3 linked regions of the Oryzias latipes genome follow. The main gene of each other region encodes a partner of the protein of the gene in region 3 in a complex. Links are inferred from orthologs where the notes say so. Each region holds a gene or a part of one and is shown on either strand. Other genes may lie near its edges.

Region 1 (10,382 bases), on a different chromosome or scaffold from region 3:
CGGACCTGGCTCCACACCGTTTCCATGTCTGTGTTTGCATCAATCGCACGTTGTCCGCTTGAATCTAAGCTGAAGCCAAAATACGACGGTAACTTTTGTCATACAAAGATGAGGATCAATGGAAGGTGTCAGTTTTGGGGTTAAAATGATGGCTCTACCTTAAGGAGATGTTGTCTGACGGGAGCTTCACCTTCTTGCTTATTTTTCTTATCAGCACTTCATAGGAAGACTCACGTGGTATTGAGACAGCAAAGGTGAATGTGAAGTGAACTTTGACGATGTATAAACTGTCTGGAACCTTGGATTTGAAAGGAAACCGAATGATCAACGAGGCGTTTATGATGAGGACCACTGACTGTTGGGTTTGTCTCAGCGTACCGTCTGCTCTTCATTTCCATTGCTGTCGTTCCCAGAACTGAGACCTGAACGGCAACAGACCAGATCAAACATGGAGAAACGGAGGAAACGAGAATGTTTTAAAGCCTGTGTGTCATAAAATCTACCTCGAGTCCTCTCCGGTATATTCGGTGCTTCTCGACTTGAAGTTGGAACCAAACCCTGGTGACAGTTATTCCCATTAAAGGCAATTTTCAACAACACGCAAAAATTTGAGAGGAAATCAGGATACTTAAAGATTGAAACTACTCCACATGTCAAAGTTGAGCTTTTAATAAAAAATATAAATATTGTGTATCAATTAGGGATGCCACAAGTGTTGATCAGAAACCAAACCGTATGTTAAACCATTAAAGTGAATCGTTGAACACGGCATACCAGTGTTTTAGGTTAAAAGTGTTCAACAAGTGTGCTAAATTTAAAAAGCATTCAGGCTGTATTCAGATTGGAAACATTTGCTCAACTTGAAGAGAACCAGAGTTCATTTCAAGTTTCATTCTGAGGACCCTGGCAAGCAGACCCTGATCCTGGACCAGGAACCGCTCTCTGATCCGTCTTTCGAGGTGGTTTCAGTTCATTTCCAATCAGACTCATTTCTGGAGTTTTTCTCAGTCTGAATAGACTCCATATTCAGAGCAGAACAACTGAACCTAAACGGCTACCTCATCTTTACAGGATGTAAACGGATGAGCCGCAGAGAATTGTGGAGCGACGATGAGACGCAGCAACTCATTAAATTTAATGAGCAACTCTTTAGCTCATTAAAATAACTTTTAACGTGATACACATTGTTTTCACAGTGTTTCCCGACAATCTGTGTCATAAACAGTTATCTTGCAGCCTCCGACACAGACGTTCAAAATTGTTCAGCAAAATATAAAGTTTGGATAATCCGACATGGATTGTAGGACTTTCATTATTTATCTCCTTGCTGTGTCCTGCCAATGGTTGCAGAGATTTTCAATCACATGCTTTTGTTTACAAGCTTTGGTTCGAAACAAATCTCCAGCTGAAAAGCCATCTGAGTACAGACCAAATGCAAGGTTCAGGACTTGATCCAGACCAAATTAGGCAAACTGGGTCTAGACCAACTAACTTCTCCAGTCTGAATACATCCTAGTATTTATTGTTTTGTTACATTACCCCAACCCCAAGTATGAGCCAAGTGAAGTCTTTCACTTCATTGTAACTCGCTGATTACCAAATTAAAAAAAAGGATTTGTCCAAATTTTTTGTTTTTTGTCATTTTATAAACAAATCTTATATCAAAATGACACAAAACTGTGACCCAAAAAAAAATCAAAATTTGTGCTAAATCGTGGAGAAAGTGAATCGTTGCATCCCTAGTACCAATACCTTTTTCTGTTTTAAAGCCAGAGAGATCTCCTGACGCTCCAGGTAATTGTACGGTACGAGTCCCGTCTGTAATCATAACCACGAATAAGCACTCAGTTCTCTACTAAACACACAATCTGGGGGAAAAAAATGATGCACACACTCTCAAGAAGTATCACAGATTGTGCATACGGCATTCTTACTCTTCCATTGAAGATGACATAGGCCCAGTTGTCTGCCCCTTTCTGCAGCACGAACACCATGTTGCCGGGCTTCACGGCCAGCTCGTCGCAGGTTTCAGGAACAAACTCAAACAGTACAGTGTGGGGTTCACCTTCCAAGGCTCTATGAAGAATAGACACACAAAGGGTATCGTAACACACGTGTCTTTTTGTCATTGAAGGAAGATGACGTTTAATTTGATGAAAATTAGAAAACCCTTTTACACGAAAGGACAAAGACATTCAGCAAAAAGATATTAAAAAACATTTTATCAATTTCTACTTGATAGATTTTTAAAAAAACTTGGGATGTACCTTAAAACTTCTGGTTCTCTTGGAGAAAGTGGACCATCTTCAACCTGTTTAGTGATTAAGAAGGAGATTATCCAGTCAGTCCCTGATTTACTGAGTCATACTGGTTCTTGAGGGCTCCAGTGTTTTCCCCAGTCCTGTCTAGTATACGGGATGTACACACAAAACTCACAAAAGGTAATCCTAATTTCAAATTAAATATAAAATTAAAAGGCATAAAATCTTTTATACATGGGCAATGTTTAAATGCACATCCAAAGATTCAAGAATTTTTTCACAACAGCCTGCCACAAATAAGATTTTGTTTACTGACTGTGTTTAAACCATGACTCAACCTCCTGATGTTCTGGTTCTGATGGAATGACAGATAGGGACTTGTATTTGTGACTTGGACTTGACTTGGACCAAAGTCTCACATGCAAATATTTGAATTTAACCTCCAGGTTTGGGACTTGTGAATAAATAATGTTTGTTAAAAAATTATCTTTAAGAAGCTTTGCCGAAACATAAACTGTCTGTTTTAATGTCCACAAAAATGTGATGACAATTTGTGTTAGTAGACTCTTCATTAAAATTCAAATTTGAGACTTGAAATGACAGACTTGAGACTTCAGAGTTGATTTGGACTTGGAAAAAAGGGACTTGTGACCTTCTCTGTCTTTTAAACAGCTTGAATAGCAGATGTGCTGACTTTCTGCTTACAGGTTATTCTGAAAAGTGATTGAGATACGGACGGATGGATGAATGGATACTTTTTCGATCCCGACAAGTTGTACTACACTTGTCACTGCTTTTAGCTTAGTGTCAATAAAAAATGTAGGAGGGAGAAACAAACATCGCATGCTTCTAAGGCTCATTTTCAAGCTGGAAGGTTGCGTGGACATTTCACAATTTTTCAGAATTTTTTGTTGCCTCATCACAGCATTTAGCAACGAAAAATACGAATCTCCGTCACCTGTGGCTGCAGAGGAGCAAATCCAGAAAAATCGTCTTGTGGATTGACAGAGGCAACAACCTGATCATCAAACAAACAATACACAGATTGTTAAGTTCACCCTCAAGATTTCCCAAATCATGTAAGATGATTTATTTCAATGAAAAAGATTTATTCTTACTTTGGCTTTGCCCAGGTAGTCTTTCTTCTCCAGCTCTGCAACGTAATGTTTATTTGGTTTAAACATCATTTTTGATGGGAACTCCACTAGTTTGAACAGCTTCTCCTTCTGTCAATGAAATCGCATCAAAAAGATGTCCTAAATCTGACATTTCAAAACCGCATTCTGTCCCTAAACTTTCCATGGAGGCACGGTTGGACCTGAACTTACTGGACAAATAAAGACATTATTTACTCTGACGAGATCCTTAGCAGAGATGAAACTGCAGATGTGTTTTGTTTAATAGTTTTTAAATGTGTGGATTAACATTTTAAAATATTTATTTATATTCCTGCTGAATCCCTTATAGGGGTCACAGGGCTGCTGGAGCCTATCCCAGTCGACTGTTAAAATTACTTTTTAGATCCCCCCCCCTCCATGTAAATTGGGCACTTTAAGAGAAACCCTCGTTTTTCATCAGATCAATGCTAACCAGGACTGCCTGCTGAGCTTTTTCGATGACACTGAGCTTGGCGTCTGTTTTGTAGTCAAGCGCCTTCCTGAGGTTTTGCTCAGCCTTTTCCCAGTTTCCCAGCTGAGCCTCAGCCAGGGCCATGTTGTGGAGAACCTTTGAAAGGAGAGATTTTATTTAGAGCTTTTCTCATGCAAACAGCAGAATTGGAAGGTGTTATGATTTAGTGATGATGTAGTAGATTGTGCCTAAGGTTGAAAACACCTACCTCACATGCATATAGAATATATCTGAGACCAAGGGCCTTGTAATCGATCAGGTTGTTTCCTCTTAGCGTTTTGAAGGCTCTCTGGAAGTCACCAATGCTCTCTTCGTACCTTTACAGATGTGTGATCAAATAAATTGCATAACAAATCAGTGAAAACTTGTGGTTTAGGTGCAAATACTTAACAGGTGTTCTGAATTTGGAATGAAATGGAAGGAAATTGGTCGTTGTTTGTAAAAAGCCGGTGTGTCTTACCTCATCTTCTTATAAAAGGTGATTCCTCTTTGAAAGAAAGCCACTGCCAAATGCTCATCCTTGCGAATGCTGCAATCGAACGCCTATGAAACAGCAGCAACTTCCTTTACAAAAACGCTTTCAGCACCACTTCTTGTTTCACTGCGACTCGCACTTACACTACAATCGAATTCAATCTCTGCCTCACCGGTTGCATCCAGATAACTGATGTTTTCAGATTTCTAGTTTTCTATTTTAGGAGCAAATTAATAGTTGAGAAATGCTTGACTTTACCTTTTCAGCATCATCCAAGTTCTGGTTAAGCAGATGCAGACAGCCGATGTTGAAACAAATCTTGGAGTTTGGCTCAGGAATGGCCAAGAGAATCCGGAGAGCTTCCGAAAAATCCTGTTTGTCAGCACAGGTTACGCCGTCATCCCACTGTCGCAGAGTGTCCACAAAAGACATTTTGGCTGCCGCTGAGACACAGTGACTGAATTGAGGAAGTTTCTCTGATTTATGCCATGAAAAACAGGAAGTTGATGACAACGTTCAATGAATTTGCATCAACGCCATGTGCTCTTGAGTCCAAGTCAATATAGTAAGAATCGTGGTTTGATCTGTGAATCGTTGATCTGAAAAAATTATGGGTGTTTAAATATTTACTGTAGTATTTTAAGAGTAAATAATGAAGTAAAGTGCAATAGTAGTACTCCCCACCTCATCATTATCTTTGGTTAATTTTATGATTTACATGGATTTGTATTAGCAATACCGTATTTTTTTCATTTTTTTTCATTTACTCATCACAAAGTCTACCTTAAGTTAAGATTTTCCAAAACTTCACTGATTAAAAATGAATTAATAAAAATTGTGTGAACCCATATATTTAGCCAAAACAAAAGAACAGGTTATTTTATTACCTCAATGTTTTTTAAATTTATTCTTTTATTTTATGTGCCTTAAGAGATAAATGAAAACTTATGAGTAATTAAAACATTATTTTAACATTATTTAGCAAAGTTTGAGGCTTAAATCTGGCATTACAGTCTGCAAAACAAAATAGAATGAAAAAACAAACAAAAAAAAAAGGTTACATCTCAGGTTTTAATAGACTTTTTCTTTAAGTTATATAGATTAGTGTAAACATTAACAAAGTTATAAGAAAATAAATTATTTTAGAGTTTTGATTTTTTTTCTCTTGTCCTTAAAATTGTTGAATTGTTGGCCAACACTCTTTAAAATTTTTCTTATTTCCCCAACCTTTTAGCGAGACAAAAATATACTTTCTGGTACTTATCTTGAATTAATTAAATGCATTTTCTTTAGTATGTAGTAAATAGTAAATACTTCTTCCATTCCATTAAAATCCAATTTCTACATCTGTTGGAACAAACACTTTTATTTCAAAAGCTAAGATGTAAAATTAGATAAGATATAAAATAGCTAAGCCATAAAGTTAGAAAATGTATCGATTGGTTATTACGAAATGATACGAAACTTCACAATTTTTGGAATATATTTTATTTACTAAAATAGATTTTTAATTTGTAATCCAGACTATTTTATCAGAAGGAGTTCAATTGTTTGTGAGAAGTAAAAAATAAATAAAAATAAGCAAAAAAACAAACAAAAGAAAACGCAGTGAAATTATTGAAGTGGTTATAAAAAATTAAACCTAATGGAAAAGCCTAAAGAATGCACTTTATTTGGCCTTTTCCCTTCTTTTGTTAATGTTTTATCACCTGCTATGTACTTGTATAATTTTGTTATAATTTGAGTTGTTGTTCCGGGATTTAAATCTTGTTATTCATCAATTTTAATTGGAGGGGGAAAAGGGAAAGGCTTTTATTTAATAAAAATAAAATTGTAGAAAGTGACGTATTTCCGTTAGAATAGTTAGCTTGATACTGCCGTCGCTACTAAACAAACATGGCTTGGCTACTTTTTCTAACAACGAACCTTTTGGATACGTAGGGAAACTTAGAGGGAACTATGCAGCTACGACTTGGGAACGTCATGTGCATGACACAACTGCATAGATGAAGAGCAGCTATAATTGTGTAGCTAGTTTGCTCGGGAAAGCTTTTTTGTGACCGTGTTTTGCACCAGTTAGCTCAAAAAGTGGCTAACTAACTTAAGCTAGCAAAATGGACCTTGGAACGATGTTGTACAATAACTTAAAGGATGTAACGTGGAGCACGACGTCTCTGCCGCTAGACCAGCTGGTCAGTGCGTACAAGTTGCCACAAATTGTCATGCTGGATAACGGTTAGTAACTTACTTCAAGTTTTATAGCTACCATGCTAGCCAGTTAAGGCTTCTGCTTATCAGCTCTAGTCTAAGCTAATGAAAAACAAAGATTCGCTTTAGTGCAATAATGCTATAAACTGATTGATATAAAAGCAACCTTGATGGTAATGAATAAGAATTTAGGTCATGAAGTAAAAACGAAAAGGCTATTTTGCTAATCAAAGGAAAACGCTGAAGGTGTAAAAAAACAACAACATTGCCTTCACAACATCATGAGTCCCCTAGTATGTCTACACTTTATTTAACTAGAAAGTGTCTTTGACAAAAGTTAACATCTACTTAGTTAAATTTGTGTTTTTCATTTCATAATTTAAATGTATAAAACATGCAGAAATTGTGTGGGATTATGTCTAATGGATTTTAAATTACCTTTTAAAATGTCTCTTTTAGCAGGTGATGGTTATCCATAATGTAATGTTTTGAAGTAAAAAGGCTCGTGTCCAGTACTTGATTCATTTTTAAAAAACTTTATTTGTAAGTTGAACATACATTTTTATGTGTAATTTCTGACACATTTATTTATTCAAATCTTAATATTTTCCTTTTCAGGAAGCAACTCACTGGATAGACTATATTATTAAAAGCTTCATCCAGACCTGATTGTATCATAAACTCTTTGTGTACTTTGGTTGATTGTTAAACTTCCTTTCTGCAGCTCAGTTGGTTGAGGGCCTCAGAGAAAACGACTACCTCTTGATTCATTCCTGCCGTCAGTGGACAACTATAACTGCTCACAGTCTAGAGGAGGGACATTATGTGATTGGGCCTAAAATAGAGATCCCAGTTCATTATGAAGGTAAGGAGCCGCCATGAAGATGGTGCTTCCTTTGAAATGGCTCTTTCTTATCTAAATTATTCATCGTGTATGCTTTCAAAAGTTTTCTGAGTGATTATTTTGAGAAACTGATGAACCACCAACTGCTTACTTCTCATGTGATGGCAGAAGCGATGGAAAATATCAGCACTAATCATTCGTGTTCTGCTTAGGCCAGTTCAAGTTGCTGGAACAGGACAGAGATGTCAAGGAGCCCGTGCAATACTTCAACAGTGTGGAGGAGGTGGCCAAAGCCTTCCCCGAAAGAGTGTACGTCATGGAGGACATCACGTTTAATGTTAAGGTACACTTTCCCCTTCCAAAGTGATCATTTTGATGAATAGGACCGAGATGAGCATCCGAATACTCAGATATACGCCATCTTTTCCAGAAAACTGTACCAATATTTGTGACGTGGAAATATAGTGGAATATATATAAAAAATAAATTATCACTGTAAAATACAGAAAAATGTTGGATTTTAAGTTTAAAAACTAAACAAACTGAATGGACTTCTGTCACAGGAAGTAAACAAATTTTCAGAGTAAAGTGTCAGAGAAGGTTCTCGTTTTCAAAGTAAAGCTATCAAGTGTTTTCTCAGATACAAAAAATGGGAGTAAAATTTTGAAATAAATTCTGAAAAAAACATTTTATTTAAAAAGTAGTTGATAATTTAAAGAAAAATTAGAATGAATAGGACATTTTAAAATATTATTAAAATCTTCTGTTCAGTTATGTGACGTACCAGAACATGTCTGCAAAATATTCATCTAAAGTGTGGAGGTTTTTTGTGTTTTCCACTAAAGATGAAAACAGTGAGTTAATAAAATATGTTTGCTGGAAACTCTGCTGTTAGTTTAGATTAAAGAACAGTTCCTATTTATTACAGAGTCACTTTTATTGAGGTGTTGCTGTGTCTTCATTTATTGTTTTCTTATCATCCATCTACTGGAACTTTAGTCAGCCAAACTCTGAAGATGGAAAAACTGTGGAGAACACTTCCAGGACTGGATGTTAAACGATCCAAAGCAACAGTGACGATTATGTTTTGTACACTACTGAATTTGACCAGGAAGGTTACAGAAAAACTTACACAAGTGTGACATTATTTAAAGTGACAAATACCTTTTCTTTCTTTTAAAATATTTGAGCTTTTATTTATGTTTTGCTGATTCTTGTATCCTGTTCTGAACAAATGTGTAAATGATGTTTATAGATCCAACAAAAACACGTACATGAGGCGACCATTCATTCATAATATATTAAATGGAAAGAATTGTGGTTTGATCTGTGAATCGTTGATCTAAGAAATGATCCACATCCCTAATTAGGAGGCATTTCCAGTTTTTTCCAGCAGCAGGACATGCTATAGCACGTCTATGTTCATAAAATGTTCATCTCTTTTTTTTAATAGGCATTACTATGAAATGATGTGTATCACGTTTCTTTTATTGTAGAGACTTCTACCAAAAATCACTTAGACCTGATTCTCTTAGAGTTCAATGGAAGTTGGTGGAACTGATGCCATGAATGTTTTAACTTGGTGTGGCCAGATGTTGGGAAACGTGGTAGTTTGGCAACTCTGAAGCACAATCCTCCATTTCCTTCGTCTTACTGAAGGGGGAACTGGTTGTTGTTTTCTGCTAAAGTTGTTTTAATTAAACCACCAAATGTGAAAGTCAGACCGCCCTTAACAGCTGCCAGCTTGCATTCCATGACTTCCTTATCAATACCACAATGCACCTGGAGTAAAAGCCCTCAGAGAAAAACCAGTCATGAAAAACACAGAAACAACTTTTTAAAAAGTGGTTTTAAACAGGCATTTCATAGTCTGTGTCTTTTTTTTGGTTGATTGCTCAATAGAAAGAAGCTGTTAACTAGTTTAGGTTAATGTTCTATAATTGTTTTTCTGTCCTAGATGGCTTCAGGGGAATGCAATGAAGAGACAGAAGTTTACAACATTACGCTGAGCACCGGTGATGAGCTCACATTAATGGGCCAGGCAGAGATCCTCTACGCCAAAAGCTCCAAAGAAAAATCACGACTAAACACTATTTTTAAGAAGATCGGGAAGCTTCACTCCATCAGCAAGATCGGCCGGGGCAAGATGCCGTGCTTGATCTGCATGAACCATCGCACAAACGAGAGCATCAGTCTCCCGTTTCAGTGCAAAGGCAGGTTTAGCACCTGCAGCCCGCTGGAGCTTCAGATGCAGGACGGCGAGCACACCATCAGAAACATCGTGGAAAAAACCAGACTCCCCGTCAATGTCATCGTGCCCAGCAGTCCACCCCGGAACCAGTATGACCTTCACCTCGTCCGGGAGGGTCACCGCTATAAGCTGGTCAACATCCAGACAAAGACGGTGGTTGTGTGCTGCATTCTGCGGAACAACAAAATCATTCCCTTCCATTTTCCCTTTCATATGGCCATGCCGAGGTTCATCGTCCCAGAGGAGCTTTTGCAAGGGGAGCTGTGGCTGGAGACAATGGTGCATCGCTGGTTCTCCTTCTGCCAGGAGCAGTTTGACATAGACGATTACTCCCGGGCCGTCCGGGATGTGCGGACAGACTGGAGCGACGACGTAAAAAGTCCCAACAAAGGCAGTGGGAATGGCACCTGCTCCGGAAGCAGTGGAGGCAACGGCGGTTCCAACGGTTGCAGCAGCCACATACAGATCCCCAACTCCTTAACGTACGCCCGCGATGAACTCACCCAGTCCTTTCATCGACTGTCTGTGTGCGTTTACGGAAGCAACCTGCACGGAAACAGTGAAGTTAACCTGCAGGGATGCATGGCGCTATGTGGAGATTGGACTCTTCTGCCCTCTGACGGCCAGTACTCTGAATCGGGAGAAAACGAGCACCTTTTCCCTGAGCTGCTGGATAGCACGACCCAACAGCCGACCTTCAACAAGCTGGACGGT
Region 2 (9,743 bases), on a different chromosome or scaffold from region 3:
CAGAACAGGGTATGTTGGAAGTCATGCAGAAATGTCACCCTCAACGCCTGTAGTTTCCCATCCCTATTTTAGAGGCTTTTTCAATTGCATCTTTTACACCTTGCTCAAACCACCCTTTCTCTGTGGCTAAACTACGGACTACGGACCTCACCATCTCAGGTGGAGATGTACATGTATGTATGTATGTATGTATGTATGTTTGTATATATACCCTGTATGTATACCCTGCTCAATGGGGGGGTCCCCCGCCCCAGGGAGTGGCTGGGGTCGGCCTGTTCCTACTCCTCGGCCAGTGGGATGCTGAGTCTTGGCCTCAGTCTCCGTGGTGGAGGTCCAGTGCATGAGAGGGTGGTTCCTCGCGGGTCTTGTCTGACAGTAGGGCTCTTGGTTGCCTGGACCACCCTGGTTGCTTCGCTGCAAACCCCTAGCTCTGGGGTGTGGGGTGTATATGCAAATATACACTCTGTTTGTCTGAAGATCTATAAACCCCTGTTGTAAAAGTATAATCTGTCAAACACAAGAGGCCTTCAGCTCTGATCTGCATGCTCAGCTGGTGGACAGGACAAGTTAAAAAAATAAATAAAAAAGAAGGGCCTAAAAGCTCTCAATAACATTTAAGTCAGGTGAAGAAGGCAGCCATGTCATGAGCTTTTCATCCTTAACCCTTGTGCTATCCTATGACCCCACCCTTACATTGACCTGTTCTCCCTACCATGACAAAGGTGGATTAAAGTGAAGAGGATTTCATGTAATCCATGGACACCAGTGAAGATCACAAATCATTGAAAAAAAAAAGTTCAGCGCACTGTCTAGTGGGGTCTAGATGACCCAACTCCCAATGTTAAAGTGCCTAGGATAGCACAAGGGTTACGGCCTGTGTTAGCCAGTGGAGTACTTTGATGCATGTGATCGAGCTTTGTCTTGCACAAAAATGAGTGTCTTCCTGAAAGATGCAGTCTCTTTTCTTTACCATTGCTTAAAGAAAGTGTCTTCTAAAAATTGGCAGTAGGTCTGATAGATGATCATGAGTCCATTTTCAACTCAAAAAGGTCCACCTTATTTTTATTAATACCTGCCCAAATCAACACCCCACCTCTTCGCTGGCGTCTAAGTCGAAGTGCAGCTCTGTGTCCACTATTCATCAAACCACGCGCCCATCCATTTGGTCCATCAAGAGTCACTCTCATCTCATCAGTCCACAAAACCTTTGAAAAGTCTGTCTTGAGGTACAGTTTTTCTTGGCCCATTCGTGACGTTTGAACTTGTGCATTTTGTTGAGGTGGTTGGGTTTCAGCTTTTCTTACTTTGGCCATGTCTCTGAGAACTAAACATCTCTAGATGTAACCGCCTAAACTCAATTGAACAGGTAAGTTGAAGGTTTATTGATAACATTACAAATGTTTGGAAGCTCATTTGTCTTATTTACAGTTTATTAATATTTTCTTTTATGATGGCAGGATCTCTGCAGCCTGTTGAGGAAGCCATCAGTATCCCTGCAGCTGTCCACTTCCTCCATGAAAGATAAGATCTCCTCCAAATCTGTGTGAGGCTTTCGTCTAAAAAAACCCCCAGTTTTTGGCATTTTAAATTTTTTTATGCTAATGTAACAGACTATTTCTATTCCTTCTCTGTTGTTTTGTCTTGAAATGAGACATTTCATTTGGAGGAGGGCACGTATGTCACACTATTTTCATTCCCCTTTGGTGTTTCTTTTGCGCATGACAGTTACATGACTCAAGGTGACAAATGGATTTTTGGGTATGTGGATGATAAGGGCAGAATAGCGGACCTCTACACCCAAACGTGTCTCTGAGTTCTTTATTTTACCTATGAAACTCTGCATTACTCAGAATTTCTTTGTGAAGCTTAAATAAAGCTTTACAAAACGCTCCACATCTTTCATCTTCAAGCATGGCTCCTATTAACAGACAACTTTGGTGTTTTTTCTCGTTAATTTATTACTTTTTTTCTTGTAGATTTACGTGTTTTATAGGCGTAAATTTACAACTTTATTCTCATATTTAATAGGAATAACTCTTTTCTCATAAATGTAGGACTTTAAAGTCATAATTAAAAAAATGTTTTTGTTTGTAAAGTGGACCTAAAACTCTGTTGTAACTCAGCTATGATTAATATATCTATAAGAAAACCTAACTCGATACACTAACATGTCTCCTTCAAAAATACTGAGCTCTGTTAGCTACCATACTGCTTGTATAGTGGGTTTAAAGCAGAGTCAAAACGTGTGACTCCAGGTTTTTTTTTTTTTTTCGTAGGAATAAGTTTAAAAAAAACGATGGTTTTAAAGAAATCATTGAAAATGGAAAATTCTCCCCCCTGCAATCAGATTTTTGAAGCAGTTTGTAAAGGAATTCATGCTCTGAGCTTCATCCTGGTTGACTCTGGGTCCATTTACTTTTAAATTGCACCTTTGGTTTAAAGTCGTCCATGATGGAACACTTTTCCACCAATCATAGTGAACATTATCTGGATCTTATCTGAGCTGTTGGCTCTAACCTTCTGCAATTGTCAAGCCAAACATAATCTCAACAACAGTCTACTCTATTTGACAAATCGCTGAACCTGTAAAGAGGTTTTCAGGTGGAAAGAATTTGAAATTGATTTGCACTGAATGACAATTTCTTTCAGTGGATTGCATCAACATTGCTCTTCACTGTATTCCCTTTTTTTAAAAGTGCAAAGGATTGTCAGTTGGGGAATGTTCAGTTTCAAGGTTTTTACTAATTATTTCCAGGTTGCATGTTTCTATGTAAATTTACTCCCATAAGCTTATTCTATTTCTCCCTATGCTATAACAAAAAGATGAATATTTCATACTCCAGCAGTGTGTACAGATGTGAAAAGGTGGCTGCTGCTCTGTGGCAATATGTCCATGAAACACACAACCTGCTGCAGTCTTATTCCCTATTAAATTCCAGTGATGCCTTCTAATGAGGCAATCCTGAAAATTACTTAAAGTATTTCATTTTTTCTAATCCTTGAGGGGTGCATCTACAGGAGTACATGCTTTAATGATAATTTTCACTAGAATTGACATTACTGTGAGTTTTTAAAACCACTAATACTGATTTATACTGGCAATACAAAAAAAAAAAAAAAAACTGGACACTAAAACTCCCAACAGAAACGTAGCAATGCCTCCAGTTCCACCATTAATCAGATGGCCACCAATAATCTGTGCATATTAGTCTGACTGATATCATTGCCATAATGGTTTGGCCTTTGGGAAAAGCCAAGTAAGATTGATCATGCTAGTAGAAGGGGTTAAAACAGCAATATGTTACTTTAGCATTACCTCAGAAGGACTGAGCTCACTCTTTCCTGATGGAGTCATAAAACAAAAGGAAAAAGGTAGGGTTGCTTTAAGAAAGAGCACCAAGTGATCATGGATATTTTTATGTTATAGTATACAGTATTTTATTTCAACATTCCCACAAATAATAATATTTTTTGCATTTTAAGCAGGATTTTGTTGCATTCTCTCATGTAGCAAATAATTTGATTTTCTTTTCCTTGTTCAGCATAATTCAGCATAACATAAATTAATTAAAACACTGATTTAATGTGCCAGAAATTGTATTTCACAATGCTTTTCTTTATAAATCAATTTTTTTCTGGTCTGTTACTTTTGCTCCCGTTCTTTTGCAAACCAACAGATATAACAGAAACTTTCTAATTTTTGACATCATTTTTCAATGCTCACTCATAGCAGACCATTCAAAGCAAATTAATAAAGTTTTAAAGTAAATAAGAAAGCAAAGGCATAATATTTTAACAAGTGGACTCCTATTGAAACCTTCTAGTAGAGATGTTATAAAAGAGTTACATGTCATTTAAACTCAACATCCACAGTCCTCTTCTCACTCCTCTTTGGTACCGAATGAATCTAAAAAGAAGACCATAAAAGCAGGTTAGAACAGAGATCCATAAGGCCCACTAACTCCTTAAAGCCTGCATTTATTTTCAGCTAGGAGAAAATAAATTTATTATAAATTTATATTAAAATAAATTTCACTTATATTTTTTGCTTTCAAATAGATGCTAAGTGAAAGTTATTTTGCAGCTAAAGTGGTTTGCTGCATTTTTGCATCAATAGACGTCAAGGTGTTTATGTTAAGCTATGTTCACACTGCCCTCGGCAATGCACATTCAAGCCACCACTTCCAATAAAAACTCTATGTAAACCCATAAAATATGTGTTTAAGGCTCCGGCGTTTAAAACCTTTATGTTCATGCGTGGTTATGCAATTTTCTCTGACCATTTTTGGGCTCTATGCAGGGGCGGAGCTACAAGGAGGCAAGGAGAGGCAAAAAAAAAGAAAAAATGGACTCCCCCAATAACTCTCCAATTTCTGAGTCAATATTAGTATCATTTTGATAAGATTTAAAAAAATCACAAATTCAAGCTTTTTAAGCACTTATAAACATCAGCCAAAAAAATAAAAAATATAATTACAACTGCTCTATTAACTTAATAACGATAACAATTGTAAAACTGTTTCGAAGAGTGGCAAATGTGAACAGCACATCACAAATGAAAAAAAAAAAAAACTTAATTTAAAGTCTTCTGTTCTTCTCCCAACCGTCCATATGAAATGTTCTTACTCCCCCACTGGCTCTTCAAACAAATGTACGGCTATTGAACATGCATTAAAAGTTAACCCAGGTCCAACTTTGACCAATCAGGGACTCGGATTTGGCAGTGATTCACATAAGTGCCAACTGTTTGAAAACTTATCATGGAGGAGAAATTATTAATTGCTCAATTGTCCGGGCACAAGTCTTTCACATACAGGAATAGAGCTGTGAAAGAAAGCCTGAAGAAAGATTCACAAGATTTGCACCGTTTTGACATTTCACACTAAGCCTTTTCCAACTGTAGGTGGCCGACATGCGATAGAAAACAATAGCAAAAGAAGAAATTCCTCCCTGCTTGTCCAGTGTGAATGCCATGGGATAAACATGCGTTCAAGAATGTATGTTTAACATCCATCCATCCATCTTCTTCCGCTCATCCAGGACATCGCAGTCTAAACAAAGATTCCCAGACTACCCTCACCCCGGCCCCTTCTACCAGTTCCTCTTGGGGGGACCCAGAGGCATTCCCAGGCCAGCCAAGACACACAGTCTCTCCAGTCCAGGATGTCCTGGGTCTCCCCCGGGGCCCACACCCAGTGGGAAATTCCCGGAGCACCTCCCCGGGGAGGCATCCAAGAGGCTTTCGGACTAGATGCCCGAGCGACCTGAACTGGCTCCTCTCAATGTGGAGGAGAAGCAGCTTTACTCTTTGCGGGTGAAAAACCTTCTCACCCTATCTTTAAGAGAGCGCCCAGCCAACCTACGGAGGAAGCTCATCTCAGCTGCTTGTATTCGGAACCTTGCTCTTTCAGTCATTACCCATAGCTCATGACCATATGTGAGTACTGGAATGAAGATAGAAATCAAAGATTTAGCAATCATGACTCATCCCAGCCGCAAACCACCCCAATGCATGCTGGAGGTCCCGGCTCTGTGAAGCCAGCAGGACAACATCAAAGAGCAGAGCAAAGAGCAGAGAGGAAATCCTGTGGTTCCCAAACCAGACCCCCTCCGGCCCATGGCTGCGCCTATAAATTCTGTCCATAAAAACTATGAACAGAACTGCCGGAGTCCATCATGTACTGGGAACAGCTCCACAGTCAGAGACCCTTCCCCCACCTGAAGACAAAGGGACATGACTCTCTCATCCACCAGGGTTAACTCCAACCCCTCTCAAGGTACTGAGTTTCAGAGCCCAGACACGGAGGTGACCCCAACTATTTCTAGCCTGTAACCTCTCAACCTGAATCATTAAAATATCACTAGTCATCTCTCACAGTCAATGCATGTGTTTTATTTCTCCACCTTTTATTTCTCCTCCTGCCTCTCAGGGATAATGTTGCACTTACCATTTACAGCATTAAGCAATTTGCCTTCTTTACTTTGGCCGGCTGAGGGCAAAGCACAGCCCTGATGGCTTCATCAAACACAGTCTTCAGGCCACGCTGGGTCAGTGCTGAGCACTCCAGGTACTTCACTGCATCTGTGTCCATATGCAAACACACAGTAAACCTCAGAAAATTGTAACAAATTCTCTTAGAATAAACAAGACAAAAACAGGTAAAACATAGAAAAACCAAAATAAGTACATTTGATTGTTTTAGCAATTCTTTTTTGTTACTGCGCCTTTAAGCAAAAAATGTCACCCCCCCCCCCCCTCCCACACACACACATACTAAAAAACTCACTACAATTTGCACATATTTAGTACCTGGTAAAATGCATTTTTGACACAGTGAATGACCCCTCCCTCAAAAATGATGAAATCACAGCAGGTGAAATTGTAAAAAATAAACAAATAAAGAATTGGGCCAAAATCTAATAAGGGGCCAAAAAAAAAAGAAATTGAACATTCAGTAATGAAACAAAACCAACATGTCAGCCATATCCAAACAAAGTTTTTATCATAGTATGGACACAGGTTCTACGGCTTGATGGCTACTACATGCCGAAGTTTGAACTTTGGTGATTTTCATATTTTTGCACATGTATGGGAAAGGACAAGCTTTGTTTGGGTGATCTTTACAAAATGTCACACACCAACGACCACCACCAAAGTTTCTTTGACCATGAGAAGCAGCTACAATCTTGAATTTTTAAACAAACCTACAATTTTAAACTCCTCCAATAGAATTTAATCTATCGCCTTTTAACTTTTTGAGCATTACTGGGAAGCTACTTGGGTAAAAAAAAGGTTGGATTTAGAAGTTGTAGATTTTGGACAGTGTAAGTGTGGCAAACTCACAAAAGTGGTGTTCGCCTGTTGCTCACACAGTTTTTACTGGAACATTATCACAAAAAATAATACATGAATCCTTGGCTCAAGCGGAACGAAATTATATGACATACAATGGAATGTGGGCGTGATTAACAAAACCCTCTGTTGCCAAGGAAATCCAAACATTTATTTTTGGCAATTCTTCAAAATTATTTTTAGACCTGTTCGTCACTACCTGGCTGCCATTTTGAAAAAAGTGGGGTTTAAAGTAGCAGTGGCAGAAGGGTAGAGTGAGGGGTGTGTAGCAGCCACTAAAGCCAATGAGGGCAGATCAGGAGGGGGTGGCTATTGCTTGCATACAACACCACTCAGGCTTTAATTCATTTTTTTAAGCTCCAAAGTAAAATCTAAATCAACATGAATTTGTCCCATAAAACATCAAATACGTATATATTAAAAGCTTTATATTTTTCTTCAAAAAGCACATTTTTAGTTACAGGGTTGAGTGTTATACATGTAAACATATTAAATCACAGATCAGATCACAAATATTTATTTAAAAAAAAAAACAGAGCTGAAACAATATTGAGTATAACTGACCAATCTCCTTAGCCAGAGCTAAGCCTTGTGGATAGGTGATTGGTGCCAGTTTTTTTTCCTTTAGCTTCTCAATCGTATCTTTCTCATCCCTCAGATCCAGCTTGGTGCCCACCAGGATGATTGGTGTGGAAGGGCAGTGGTGGCGAACCTCTGGGTACCACTGCAAATTAAGGACATGAAAAAACAAACATGGAACATTTTCCTAATTTTTCTTTATTTTTTATTTACAACTAAATGTAAGTCTGGTAATGGCGTGCTTAAACGTTAAAGACTGAAAGTAAATGTGTTTGAATTTTTTTAACTATTTGGACTTCCTCTCCTTTTCCAGATTTTTCCTGGCTAACAGTTTGTAGATTTTCTGCATTTAATTCTCTTAGCTAAATAAATAACTTTCAATGTATTTTACAGTATATTTAAAATACCAGAAGTCATATTTGAAAAGATGGTAGGATGTTATTTAGTTTATCAGAAGCCAAGGGAGAAAAACAAAGGTTAAATAACTATAGATTTAGCTACTGAAAAAAATCTGAGATAAGCTTTATTCTTTAACCACTAGCTTTTTTTTCTTACACATGAACTTCTACTCCTGCTCTTTTTGTTTAATTCTTTCCGGAAATATGTGGATTTTACTTTTCCAATGAAATGTAGATAATGATCCTGTACCAAACGGAAAAAAGCAAAAAAAAGTTGTCTTGACCATCATGAAAAAAGAATCAAAAGGGAGACACAAATTTAATTTAAATTGAGAGTTTAAACAATGGTCAAAGGTCAATAATTCATGTTGTGTGGCTACTTTAAACAGTGCACAACCTCTTTGTGTCTCAATTTCAGGAAATGTGTAAAGTAATTTACCGAGATTCAATCTGATTAGAGATAAAAAAAAACTCTAAACCTATACAAGTATATTTGCTTAATTTTAAATTAATCCAATTTCTGTTCCAGATTAGTTCTGTGCTGGATTATGGGGATTATTGCAACCCATCATAGGGTGGGGCGAATGCAACTCCTAGCAAAAAGTAACACACTTGCACTTCATTTTATTCAGTACACTAAAAAATGAGAATAGCAAATATGCAAAAGACCATCTACGAGTGGGAAGTATACTATCTAAATATAGTCAGGACCATAAATATTTGGACAGAGACACGTTCTTTCTCATTTTGTTTCTGTACATTACCACAGTGAATTTTACATAAAACAACTCAGATGCCATTGCAGTGCAGACTTTCAGCTTTTATTCCATGGGTTGAACAAAAAGATTGCATAAAAATCCTTTCATTTCATGGGATTGTAAGTAATTGGACAGATGACTTCCATGCTATTGCATGGGCAGGTGTGGCCAATTCCCTTGTTATGTCATTATGAGTGAAGCAGATAAAAGGCCTGAAGTTGATTAGAGGACTCGTGCTTGCATTTTGAAGATTTTGCTGACAACATGCGGTCAAAGGAGCTCTCCATGCAGGTGAAAGGAGCCATCATTAAGCTGAGAAAACAGAAATTGCTACAGTATTAGGAGTGGCAAAATCAACAGTGTGGTACATCCTGAGAAAGAAAGAAAGCACTGGTGAACTCAGAAACGCAAAAAGACCTGGACATCCACAGAAAACAATAGTGGTGGATGATGGCAGAATCATTTCCACTGTGAAGAGGAACCCGTTCACAACAGCCAACCAAGTGAACAACACTCTCCAGGAGATAGACGTATCAATATCTAAGTCTAGCATAAAAAGAAGACTGCATGAAAGAAGATTTAGAGGGTACACTGCAAGATGCAAACCACTCATAAGCCTCAAGAATAGGAAGGCTGGATTGGACTTTGCTAAAAAGCATCTAAAAAAGCCAGCACAGTTCTGGAAAAACATTCTTTGGATAGAATAAACCAGAATCAACCTCTACCAGAATGATGGCAAGAGAAAAGTATGGAGAAGGCGTGGAGAAGCTCATGATCCAAAGCACACTACATCATCAGTAAAACACTGTGGAGGCAGTGTGTTGGCCTGGACGTGCATGGCTGCTAGTGGCACTGGGACACTAGTGTTTATTGACGACGTGACACAGGACAGAAGCAGCCCAATGAAGTCTTTTTTTTTCCCTTTCCCTTTTTTCCCCCCTTCCTTCTCATCTATAGGCTTTAATCATCAAAATGACAAGACTGTATTACATTTTTTGTAATGATTTCATACATTAATACAAAATAATAGTCATTGGTTTTTGGTTATTTCATTTGGCTGAACAGATACATTTGTTTCAATCAAATATTAAGATGAGAGTTCACTAATAAATTTGGTTTTACATGTATCTGAATATTTCCTCAACAGAGAGAGTG
Region 3 (10,594 bases):
GCTATCAGAAGAATAAGACTTTAGAGACATCAAAGGTGACAAAGAGTCTGAAGAGTCTGAACAAATTATACCATCTCCAATTTTATTGTGTTCAAACCAGTCTAAACTATATGATATTGCCAACATTTCAACTGCAAAAACTGAAAGTTCCTTTGACGTCTTAATTCCAACATATTTTCCCAATGTAGGGATACAGAAACAAAAACCAGTTCTCATTGTGCCTAGGTCTTTAGATCCGTCTGTATATATGGGAATAAATAAAGCATGGACTGTGTCTAACCAGTCTGTTGTTATTTCATCCCAGTTTCTCTTCCCTTTGCTACCCTCCATCTTCCTGTGGAGATACAAATCCACTTGTACGGTTGGAAAAACCCAGAAAGGAGTGGCTGGGTACAAAAACGTCTTAACTAGGGTTTTACCATGAATGTTTGTTTCTCTGGTTAATCTAGCTAATTTCCAAGCAACACTTTTGTTTGTCCCACTACCACTTTCCCAACAAGGAGCAATACCTCTCTTAACCATATGTTCTACATCTACACAACCCTGTATTTACACCCAATAATTAAGCAGCAGTTGTTTAATTCTGAGATTCAATGGTAGGTCCCCCATTTCAACTTGTAATGACACAGCAGGAGTTGACCTCATAGCCCCAGTACATATTCTCAACGCCTGATTTTGGATGACCTCTATCTTATGTAACTACGTTTTGCAAGCTGTATTGTAAACAATAATTCCATAAGCTGTGACTGACCTAATCATTGTAACATATTTTTGTTTTAAAGCCTGTGCACTAGCTCCCCACCCAGTGCCTTTCAAGCATCTCATTTTATTTATGACTTTGTTACATCTCCCTACTATCAATATTCTCTTTCCATTTCAACTTTTTATCAAATATAACTCCCAGATGCCTAAAACTATGTACTTGCTCCATTACTTTTCCATATAGTTTTAAGTTCAAAACAGTTTCACGTTTTCTAGTAAAAACCATGCATTTTGTTTTAGCCACTGAAAATTTGAATCCCCAATTGTATGACCAGTTTTCCACCTCCGTAATAGCGTCTTGTGTCTTTCTCTCCACATAACGAATATTCCGTCCCCTCTTCCACAAGGCTCCATCATCTGCACACAATGCTTTCCCAAATTCGCATCCAATGGAACTAAAGATATCATTAATCATAATTGAAAACAACACAGGGCTAATCACACTTCCTTGTGGGGTTACATTATCCACGACGTATCTATTAGAAAAAGACTTTCCTATTCTAACTTGAACATATTTATCAAATAAAAAACCCCTTAATCCAATTATAAATTCTTCCATGAAGTCCTAACCTACCTAATTTTATCAATGAACCCTCTTTCCAGACCATATCATAAGCCTTTTTATATAAAAAAAATACTGCCACCAAATATGCTTTATCTACTTGGGCTTTCCTGATGTCTGCTTCTAGGCAGACGACAGGGTCCATTGTCCCTCGACCTTTCCTAAAACCGTTCTGATATTGGGACAACAAATTTTTTCTCTCCAGGTAATAATACAATCTCTCATTTATCATTTTTTCCATTATTTTACCAACATGTGATGTGAGGGCTGGGGCTGTAATTTTCTGGGCTGCTCGGATCTTTCCCAGGTTTTAATATAGGAATAACAACAGCCTCTTTCCAATTTGTCGGCAATTTACCTTCACACCAGATTCTATTATACATGTCCAATAATTTCAACTTCATTTTCCTACCTAAATGCTTTATACTATTGGTTTGCTCGTCTTCTTTGATTAAATGTCGAAAAACATCTGAGCAATCTTCCGCCCTCTAGCGTTTACATTTGAAAGAATAAATAGAGCAAAAACATCACATGCCAGGTAACTTATCTTCAACTTTGGTTCCAAAAACAAATTGAAAAGATATTTCATATAAAAAAAATACATCTTCAGTTGTTACTTAAAGATACAGGCTAAATTGTTTTCAAGTCTTTAAGAGGAAAAATCACATTTATGAGGATTAAAATCATGATCACATGGCCTTTTAAAATGAGCTGTTCTGCCAATTGTTCATCTTTTCCCACATGCTGATTATGACAAAGGTAACTAATATCATCTCATCTCAAATATGTTATGATATATTAGTATTAAACCTGAAAAGGTTGACAATTATTTCATGGCTACACATTACTTTGGCAAGAAGGCAGAATCATTGGTTTAAACGAAGCATGTCCAAAGTCCGGCCTGTGGGCAAAAAGCAGCCTCCATTCAAATTCCCACCTCTCACGGGCTCCTGTCATAAAAATAATAACATGTGGCCCCAGCACTTTCTAAAAAGTGTGTGTACAATTTCTTGATTGTGGCTGGCTAAATTCCATTCTTAGCCATTATAAACCTGTTGTGACAACCTGTGGCTACTTTGCCTTCAGAACCTTAATAACCAAACAAGAGGACACAAAATCCACTATAATTTAGGTTAAAAAAATGTTAACAATGTAGCTGCAAGTGACCCCAAGTCTGGGTCCCCCTGGTCCAAAGCCTGGATAAAATACAGGGTTGTGTGAGGAAGGGCCTCCAGCATGAAACTCAGTGAAAGCTGATTTGCTGTGGCAACCCCTGAAGGGATGTGTTGAAAGGTGAACAAACATCCATTCAATGTGGAAAAAGGAAAAATATGCCATTGCAAAAAAATGGCATCATATAGTTCATTTACATTTAATGCTTTTATAAGAGTTCAAAGAATGCGAGCCGATTGGTTGGCCCTCATACATCTTCAGTTTGGACACCCCAAACCAGCGAGGGGAAATGATTATTTTAGGTGTCATTTATTAGTATTATATAGACAAAATTAGAAGTATTTTCCAGAAGATGGAGGGCAAATTTTCAACTTTTGATTTCAACCAGTTTCAGTTACATTGTGATCTGAGGTCAATCTGTTCTTTATTCATACTCTTCCATTTCAAAGTCTTCATTAAATACTTACATGTATCTGTAAAAACCAGGTCTTGTCTTGTTTTTGCAGTTTATGTGCAAACTTTAAAGCAGTTGTTGGGGTTTCAAAAGTATAAGTATCATGAACTTTGGGAAGAAATTCTGACACACTCACTCAGCTGACTGGTTTTCTGTGTGGCTCTTCTCCTAAATAAACATTTCTGTTTTTTATTCTCAACAAAGTGCGTGATCTTTGATTACTACATTTCTCCAAGCAAGAATCATTGCATGAATAAAGATTCAATCTGCACCTGGGTGTTGCGGTTTAGACTAAAAAGAGGAAGCACGATTATGATACTTTGGTTTACAAATAGACAGTAACTGTTCTGACTCCAGAAGTAAAGAGAAGAGAAAATTAAAGAAAAATACTATCACGTAGAACCTGTTTGAACAATGCGTTAAAAAAACAGTGAACAGCAATGTTACAACTATGTACTACAAAGAAACAATGGAAAAACAGGGGAAGTGCTACGTGTCGAAATATTGGGCTTGTAAAAGCGAGAAGTTGCAAATGCCCCTGCTTTGAATATTTTCCACAGGAACAAAAACACAAAAGCAAAAACAGATGACAGATAACAATTAAAAGAAAGCAAGAAATCACCACAGAAGTATGAGACAACATGAATTGCTTTATCGCCATGATGCACCCAAAAACACAGATCATCTCATCAATCTGTACTTTTTCATTCTTTAATCACAACCTGCATTTAGCTGCTTTCAAAAACTCCAGAAACAAGTAAATACACATTTTTCTAGATCACTTTTATAAAATATAAAAACTTTTATAAAAGTTATGATCGCTGGAACAGGAAACAGATATTGACTTGGACCTTTTGAATATTTTTCCAAACAGTAAACACTAACACATACAGTACTTAAAACTGACAACAGTATATTTACATTTTCAAACTAGCAGCTACAGCATTTACATCTACCGTATGTGGTATATTTTTGATCATATCAACTTTTTGATCATATCAACTTTTTTCTTTGATCTCAGCTTCTTGTATTTCTCCAGGGTCACTAACTTGAGCGAACCGTTCCTCCACCATTCTGTGAGGGGGGTCCAGTTACTCGTCATCTGTCACAGACATGGGATTGTCATAGGCAGCTCCCTCCACATCCTTGGCTTGCTTCCGGCGTATCTCTGGAGGAGGTCGTGGTGGTGGGTTCTGAGGAGGACTTTTGATGCTTTCAGCAACAGGTTTCCGAGTATCTTTGCGAGGAAGAATTGGTTCCCAGTGTTCACCTCGGACAGCTGCCTAGATAGCAGGAGAATGTCAATGCTTTGCCACAAAAGGATAGTGACTATGTTGTTTACTCAAAATTGGAGATAAACCTAAATTTAAACCGTGTTACATCTGAACCTTTGAAACTCATGGAGAATTCAGTCACACCTTCGTTTAATGTTTTGCAATAACGTATGTCATGTTTCAACAGAGACACCACTATGGGACAACTTCTAAGTTGCAGTTTCCTTGTTTCCAGAAACTAACCACTTCCCGCCATTACAACACACTTTTCAAATTTGACAACTGGTGAGCTTTGAACAACTTACTGCCAGATAGATGAGACTGGCAATGCCAAGACAGACACATCCTAAAACTGTGGCAAGCATAAAACCTCCAGGTACACAAAGCCTGTAAAGAGAAATACAAAAGGGTTTAAGACCAAACACAGTCATGGCACAAGCCTATTGTTAGTGAGTGGAAAGAATGCCGTTTGGCAAAAGAAGGATTGACACAAAACAGTCCACTTATTCAAGCGTGGCATTGTTTCAGAACCACAAAGTCAACTTTATTCAACTTCTTTTCAAGACATTAATTAAACTGTTTTTCATCAAATATGTATCTGAAAATATTTCTCTTTTACTTCAAATTTTTCCAATCAAATAAGGATTCATGATCTTAAGTTTGATAAATCTATATATGTTATTCTCTCACGTTTCTTTTCTTTTTTACTTTTTCTTGTTTTGACTGCTTGAAATGAATTTCTAAATTTAGAATTCAAATCTTACTTACGCTGCATGCAGAAACGCTCTGACATAATAGTTTCTTGTTACTGGTCCGAAGGCTTTTACACACACTGTGAAGCAGTACTGGCCCCTGAAAGAAAATGAGTAGTGAGTAAAAAACCTTATAATAGTTAGGAAAATACGTGCTGATGATGAAATATGTAATAAAGGTAAGACTACAGGGAAACTTACGTCCTTTCCACACTCGTACCCTTGGCCCTTTTGCTCCTGGGATACTCGAGCAGGCACACAAAGACCCCAGCAGCACTTGATTTCAGTCAAGGCATTTTAATTATTGTTATCACTTCAACATCATCATCATAAACACACATAGTGCTTAATATAAGACTAAAATGTGCTAAATTGACAAACAAAACAAACTTTTTAATTTAATCTATCAGATTTTGGACTTTATGGTTACATAAAATGGATGATTTTTAACATTTGGGTGAAAAAATCAAATCTTAACTTAGATGAACAGGAAAAGAAAAAAAAACCTCATGGAGGAACCTGCATTTACTGAACATGCACAATAAGGAAGTGTGTACCGGATACTACACAAGTTGTGTTATGAACTAATACTCATCTGTCTAAGACACAGAAAAAAAACAATGTAGTTAGACTATAAAAACAAATATTGAAATATTCAGATGGGATGATATACATTATCTTCAAAAAAAAGGTGAATGAGGCTTTACACTTTCAGGTATTAAAATTCGGGGAAACCTCTCCAGGTTAACCCTGCGCATGCGCCACTTGGTTCTCATGAACCAGAGTGCAAACTGTATTAAAGAGTCTAAATCCCAATACACTTCTTATAATAAGGTAAAGGATACATAGCATAAGAAGCAAACTCCCAGCCTCTAAACTGCCCCGCCACTCCCACAATTCCTCCGGCGAGAAGAACTACAAGAAGGAAACAGGAAGGTAAAAAAATAAAACAGCATTAATGACAACAATCCACCTTTACTTTCTATAGATGAACATTATTTCTGCAACTGGAATTACCATACAGAAATGGAGCTATTTGTTCTAGTGTTAATTGTCCTAGTTATTTCATGACCTGACAAAAAGCAAATACTAACACTTAAAAAATCTTTTGTATACTCACTGAGGCCTGCAGCCAGAGCCTGTTCGTTGGCCCACATGGCCCACTCTATTCTCCCCATGGTGCTGACCCCAAAAACGACGCGACTACGACGCTCTACCTGCGACGACACCTGACCCTGCAGCCTGCACAAGGAAGACGACGCGCTTTAGAGGAGGTGCAGCCCGTAGACGTGCGGCTGGGAGGAGCGGGGCGGGGCGGGGCGGGCGGGACGCAGCCCCGCCTCGCCCGTCGTTTCCGAAAATATGCGGGATTCCCGGGAGGAGGGCGGGGCCAACACCCACCGGACAGGTGCAGCAAGGCCAGGGAGGAATTTCACTTAATCATTAAATAAAGTTTCACCCTTTTCTTCCTGGCAAGGAAGCAATAGCTTCGTTTAGTTTCTAACTTTTTCCTGTTTGTTAACTGATGCCTTCATCTGGATTTGTGTGTCATTCTCTCACATAATGAAACGGACAATAAAGGCCACATTGAATAAAGTTTAAAATATTTTTTACAAACTATTTATCCCAGGTTTAATGTCATTGACAAATACAAGATCTTTAAGGCAATGCAACTATAACATCTCTTTCTAACAGCGAGTAAAAGGAACAAGCTTACTGACAATGATGTAAGAAATCAGAAGACACAAGAGCTGCTGTCACATTTAACATTTATTTAGAATAGAACCTAAAAACTCGTGATTTGAAGTGACTTAGAAGACGCACTGTACAGTTTACATGGGGAAATTAAGATTTATTTTGCTTCTATGCTGGCATAAACTACGGAGCCCCTAAAGGGACATAGATGTAAAAGAAATTGTACTGGTTTCTCATGCGCACAATAAACCAACTGTTGCACACGAGGAACTAAGTGGTTATTATTTCTTAGGACTCCCCTACAAAGACTTTAGCTTTGCTTGCCTGGTGTCACCGTTATGTTACCTCTGAACGTCACCTAAAACGAGTTCTAAAGTCATGTAGTTTGTTTTGGTACCGGGGATGCACTGGCTTTGATCAGCTGCTGTGCTGCACACTGGGTTTTTTTTCTCGTGTGCATGAGAAACCAATACTATTATTTTTTTTTTTACCTCCATGTCCCTTTAGGGGCTCCATAATAAACTGTATAAATCTGTAAACGTAAAAAAACAAAAAAAAACAAAGCTACTTTCAAAGAACTAAAGTTTATGTCTTATAGTTTAGGAAAGCCATCAGGTGACAGCAGGTGTAGAGAGGGATCCTTCACAACCCGGGGGCCTGGACCAGCCTGGAATGTATGACCAAAAAAAAGAATCACTCTGCAGCTCAAAGAACATCCTCTTTGTCTGTATTTGTATGTACCTTGGTGCTAATAATGTAGCTTATTCCCTTTGGCATGGGTTCTAAGCCAACACTCTGTTTCAGCTGCTCAGAGACGGCAGCACTCTTGACTGGAAGACCTTTGATGAAGCTGCAGAGGAAAATAAAAGCAGCTTTGTGACATATTTTTGAGGGAGCTAAAGGCGAACAGGAAATAAGAGTGTGATAGCATAGAAATACAACAGAAACACCTATGCAAGTCTAATCAAATATATATATATATATATATATATATATATATATAACAAATATTAATCCCAGCTAATTACTCTGTACTACTATTACTACTTTGTAAAGTACCATTTAACCCAGAACTCCACTTAAGGTAGCATCATCACTTTGAAAGGATAAAAGACAGAATAGTTTTATATTATCGAAAATAAATTCAGGCATGGAGAGGTGAAACATAAAAAAACAAGCAAAATGCCATTTACATTATTGCCACATATGTTTTTATAATAAAAATACTAATTCATTTCAAGGCACACTATTTCTTTGAGCAAATGTGCATAGGTGCAATTTCAAATGTATTGTTTTCAGCCAAAAATAAATACTATGAACATGTTTGTAAATTTCAAACCCTTCATATTGTCTGATTTTTTCTTTTCCAAAAAATGTATTTGTGAACGAGGCCAAACCTTTTAGCTGTTGGCCACATTCTATCTCAGTAACAGAAACAAAGCCCAATATGCTGCAAAGTCCTTCATGACCGCATGCTTTTATTGTAATAAAAAGAAAAAGGTTAACCTGGTTTCCTCAGCAGGGTTTTATGAGCAAAATGCTATTCAACCCATAAACGTATGTGGCTCAACTAACTGTCTATCTCTTTGTTTTTTAGTTCCTTTAGCTTGTCAAACAGAAAGTATAGAGTACAGTAAATCGATTGGGTGTTGACATACTCCTCTCCATTGGTTTCTGGTGGGAAGAAATGCTGGATGAAGTGGACAAACTCTGGAACGTGCTGTTGTAACGTGAAAATCACAGCGTTTGGCCCGGCATCAAAACTGTAGGCCACCTAAAGGAGCACACAGACTTTCGTCAGCTTAAAAAAAAAAGAAAAGAATAGAAAAAAATCACGTTCCTCTTTTTTTTTATTACCGCACATGTTTCACATCTTTGTTACACAATGTCAAAAATTCATCCACATAAAAATAAACAATTGTGTTTCAAAAGTTACCAAAGGTCATACAAAATGAAAGCCTCATTTAGTCTGTTTTTGACCTGAAATCCAACACTTAGACAGAAAATATCCCATCAGGTTTTTAATTGTGCCCATTATGATTTTCACATATGTAAATATCATAATCCTAATTTTTACTCCTCTAACATGCAACGTCATAATTGTAAGTACTAATACAAGTAAAATAACTAGATCACCAGATTTAAACACAACTAAAAAATAAATACAACCACCACCAAAAAGGACAAAACTGTGGTACTGCTCACCCGTGTCTCCCCATAATGTCTGTTGTATCGATGCACCAAGTGAATGACCTGCTGGGAGACTCTGTTCAGGTAGAAGATTGGAGGGTATGTGTCCAGGCAGGTGGCATGAAACTGGTTGCTGTCTTTCATGGTCAATTCAGCAAATGCAGCAAAGTCTCTTCCTCGCACGGCTTTAATCATCTCCTCCATCCGGTGAGGAACAACAGACTCTGCCCGATGCTGCACACATCATTCACAGAAATGTTATGTTATGAGCGAAAGGTTGTAAAGGTGACTTTAGAACTGAAATTGAATTAAAGATCACCTTTAGTAGGCAACTTGTTTGTACGCTAGTTTGCATCCCAGAAGTGCTGCCGACTGGCTTCCTCTCAGCACTAGCCTAAACAAAAACACATCAGATTGCATTTAAGAGAGCTGCAAACTGCATGGATTCAAAGCTTATATAAAACTTTATTAACAGACGATGATGACCAAATTCTTCATCTAACAAAGACCTACCACAAGGACAAGGATTCTGAGTTCAGGCCAATGACTCTCTGGCTCCACCTGCTGGGCTAAACTGTCCTTGCCATCCTCCTGGTTTCCCATAATCCACTGAACAAAGCCTCCATACATGCTTCGGCAGGCGCTGCCAGAACCTTGACGAGCGACACCAGACAGCTCTCCTTCTACACCAAATGCCTGAGCGAGACTGTAAACTACAACCAAGGACAGAAAAGTACAAGATTACACTGTTGATGTGTTGCACATTAACACTTGCAACTTGAGAATTTTTAAGACAGTTTTCATAACAAACATTTGCAACGTAAACAGATTTTAGATACAGACATAAAGGCTCTCACCTAGACAGGCAAAGCCTGCAGCAGACGAGGCGAGTCCAGCAGCGGTGGGAAAATTGTTTACAGAGCAAATGTGGACTTTTTGAGAAAGACCAGTCAACTCAGTGGAAGTAGCGTCTCCGTCATTGTGCCTCTTTCGTGCCAATCTTCGAACTGAAAACAGAACAAATGGAATTAAAAACATCATGTTTCACTTCTGTATCTTGAATAGTGTTCATAGGAAAGCATTGAACAGAAAGAACTCACTTTCTCTGAGACAAGACTGAAGTCTTGGATGGGTGATGTCCTCCTCTTTGCCATTCAGCCATATTCGATCCTCCTTAAACGATCTGCTGGTTGCAACTGTTGTTGTTGTTTTTAACTGAACAGACATGAAGATAAAGACGTACAGTCAAACTACACAAACGCTATTTTCCAAACCATTTTAGATTCGAAACTTATGAATCATGACATTTTTCCAATTATTTGTTCTTTGTAAGAATACGTAGTAACCATGAAAAGTTAGTTTAAATATAGCTTAAAAATGCACTCATTTTTAATAGCATCAACCCTCTTTTAAATTGATAAAATAGAAATGAGTTGCCTCCCACTGTTGTGCAGTGAATTAGAGGGAACATGTTAAAAGCAGTAACATAGATTGGACGTTATTGTCCTTGCTCCCAAGGTTTTTTTTCATAATGCCCAAGGTCCTTAGTGAGTTTGGAAAGAGGTTAGGGTTAGTCGTGCTCCCTTAACATAAAATATAGTTTGAAGCTCTGGTCTTTGCACATTGAGCTGATTAGATGAATCAAAATCTGCGTGCAGATGTTAACCTGCCCTGACATCTTTATCATCGAAAATAACTTTGTAAAGCACATGTGTCAAACTCAAGGCCCGGG

The links.
Region 1: cytochrome b-245 light chain (region 3) and ncf2 share a complex: the UniProt entries of both Homo sapiens proteins name them as parts of the phagocyte NADPH oxidase complex. The link is inferred for Oryzias latipes from reciprocal best matches to the Homo sapiens genes CYBA and NCF2.
Region 2: cytochrome b-245 light chain (region 3) and ras-related C3 botulinum toxin substrate 2 share a complex: the UniProt entries of both Homo sapiens proteins name them as parts of the phagocyte NADPH oxidase complex. The link is inferred for Oryzias latipes from reciprocal best matches to the Homo sapiens genes CYBA and RAC2.

The regions. Positions count from the first base shown.
Region 1 is NC_019878.2:10,708,464-10,718,845, forward strand, and holds the start of ncf2 (neutrophil cytosol factor 2), read right to left. Parts: upstream 5,028-10,382; 5' UTR 4,798-5,027; coding exon 4,624-4,797; intron 4,434-4,623; coding exon 4,351-4,433; intron 4,208-4,350; coding exon 4,099-4,207; intron 3,987-4,098; coding exon 3,852-3,986; intron 3,488-3,851; coding exon 3,380-3,487; intron 3,280-3,379; coding exon 3,220-3,279; intron 2,312-3,219; coding exon 2,268-2,311; intron 2,077-2,267; coding exon 1,935-2,076; intron 1,819-1,934; coding exon 1,753-1,818; intron 559-1,752; coding exon 504-558; intron 423-503; coding exon 379-422; intron 299-378; coding exon 159-298; intron 70-158; coding exon 1-69. Other genes in the region: garem1 (GRB2-associated and regulator of MAPK protein 1), read left to right, coding at 6,480-6,600, 7,298-7,438, 7,630-7,760, 9,375-10,382. UniProt on the Homo sapiens protein: Subunit of the phagocyte NADPH oxidase complex that mediates the transfer of electrons from cytosolic NADPH to O2 to produce the superoxide anion (O2(-)).
Region 2 is NC_019859.2:25,181,485-25,191,227, forward strand, and holds the end of ras-related C3 botulinum toxin substrate 2, read right to left. Parts: intron 7,578-9,743; coding exon 7,418-7,577; intron 6,083-7,417; coding exon 5,952-6,082; 3' UTR 5,949-5,951; intron 3,908-5,948; 3' UTR 3,412-3,907; downstream 1-3,411. UniProt on the Homo sapiens protein: Plasma membrane-associated small GTPase which cycles between an active GTP-bound and inactive GDP-bound state.
Region 3 is NC_019861.2:22,087,942-22,098,535, reverse strand, and holds cytochrome b-245 light chain, read right to left. Parts: upstream 6,566-10,594; 5' UTR 6,156-6,565; coding exon 6,098-6,155; intron 5,893-6,097; coding exon 5,823-5,892; intron 5,254-5,822; coding exon 5,179-5,253; intron 5,078-5,178; coding exon 4,994-5,077; intron 4,613-4,993; coding exon 4,531-4,612; intron 4,235-4,530; coding exon 4,043-4,234; 3' UTR 3,096-4,042; downstream 1-3,095. Other genes in the region: mvd (diphosphomevalonate decarboxylase), read right to left, coding at 7,265-7,339, 7,414-7,522, 8,331-8,446, 8,878-9,096, 9,182-9,256, 9,376-9,575, 9,720-9,869, 9,963-10,077. UniProt on the Homo sapiens protein: Subunit of NADPH oxidase complexes that is required for the NADPH oxidase activity that generates, in various cell types, superoxide from molecular oxygen utilizing NADPH as an electron donor.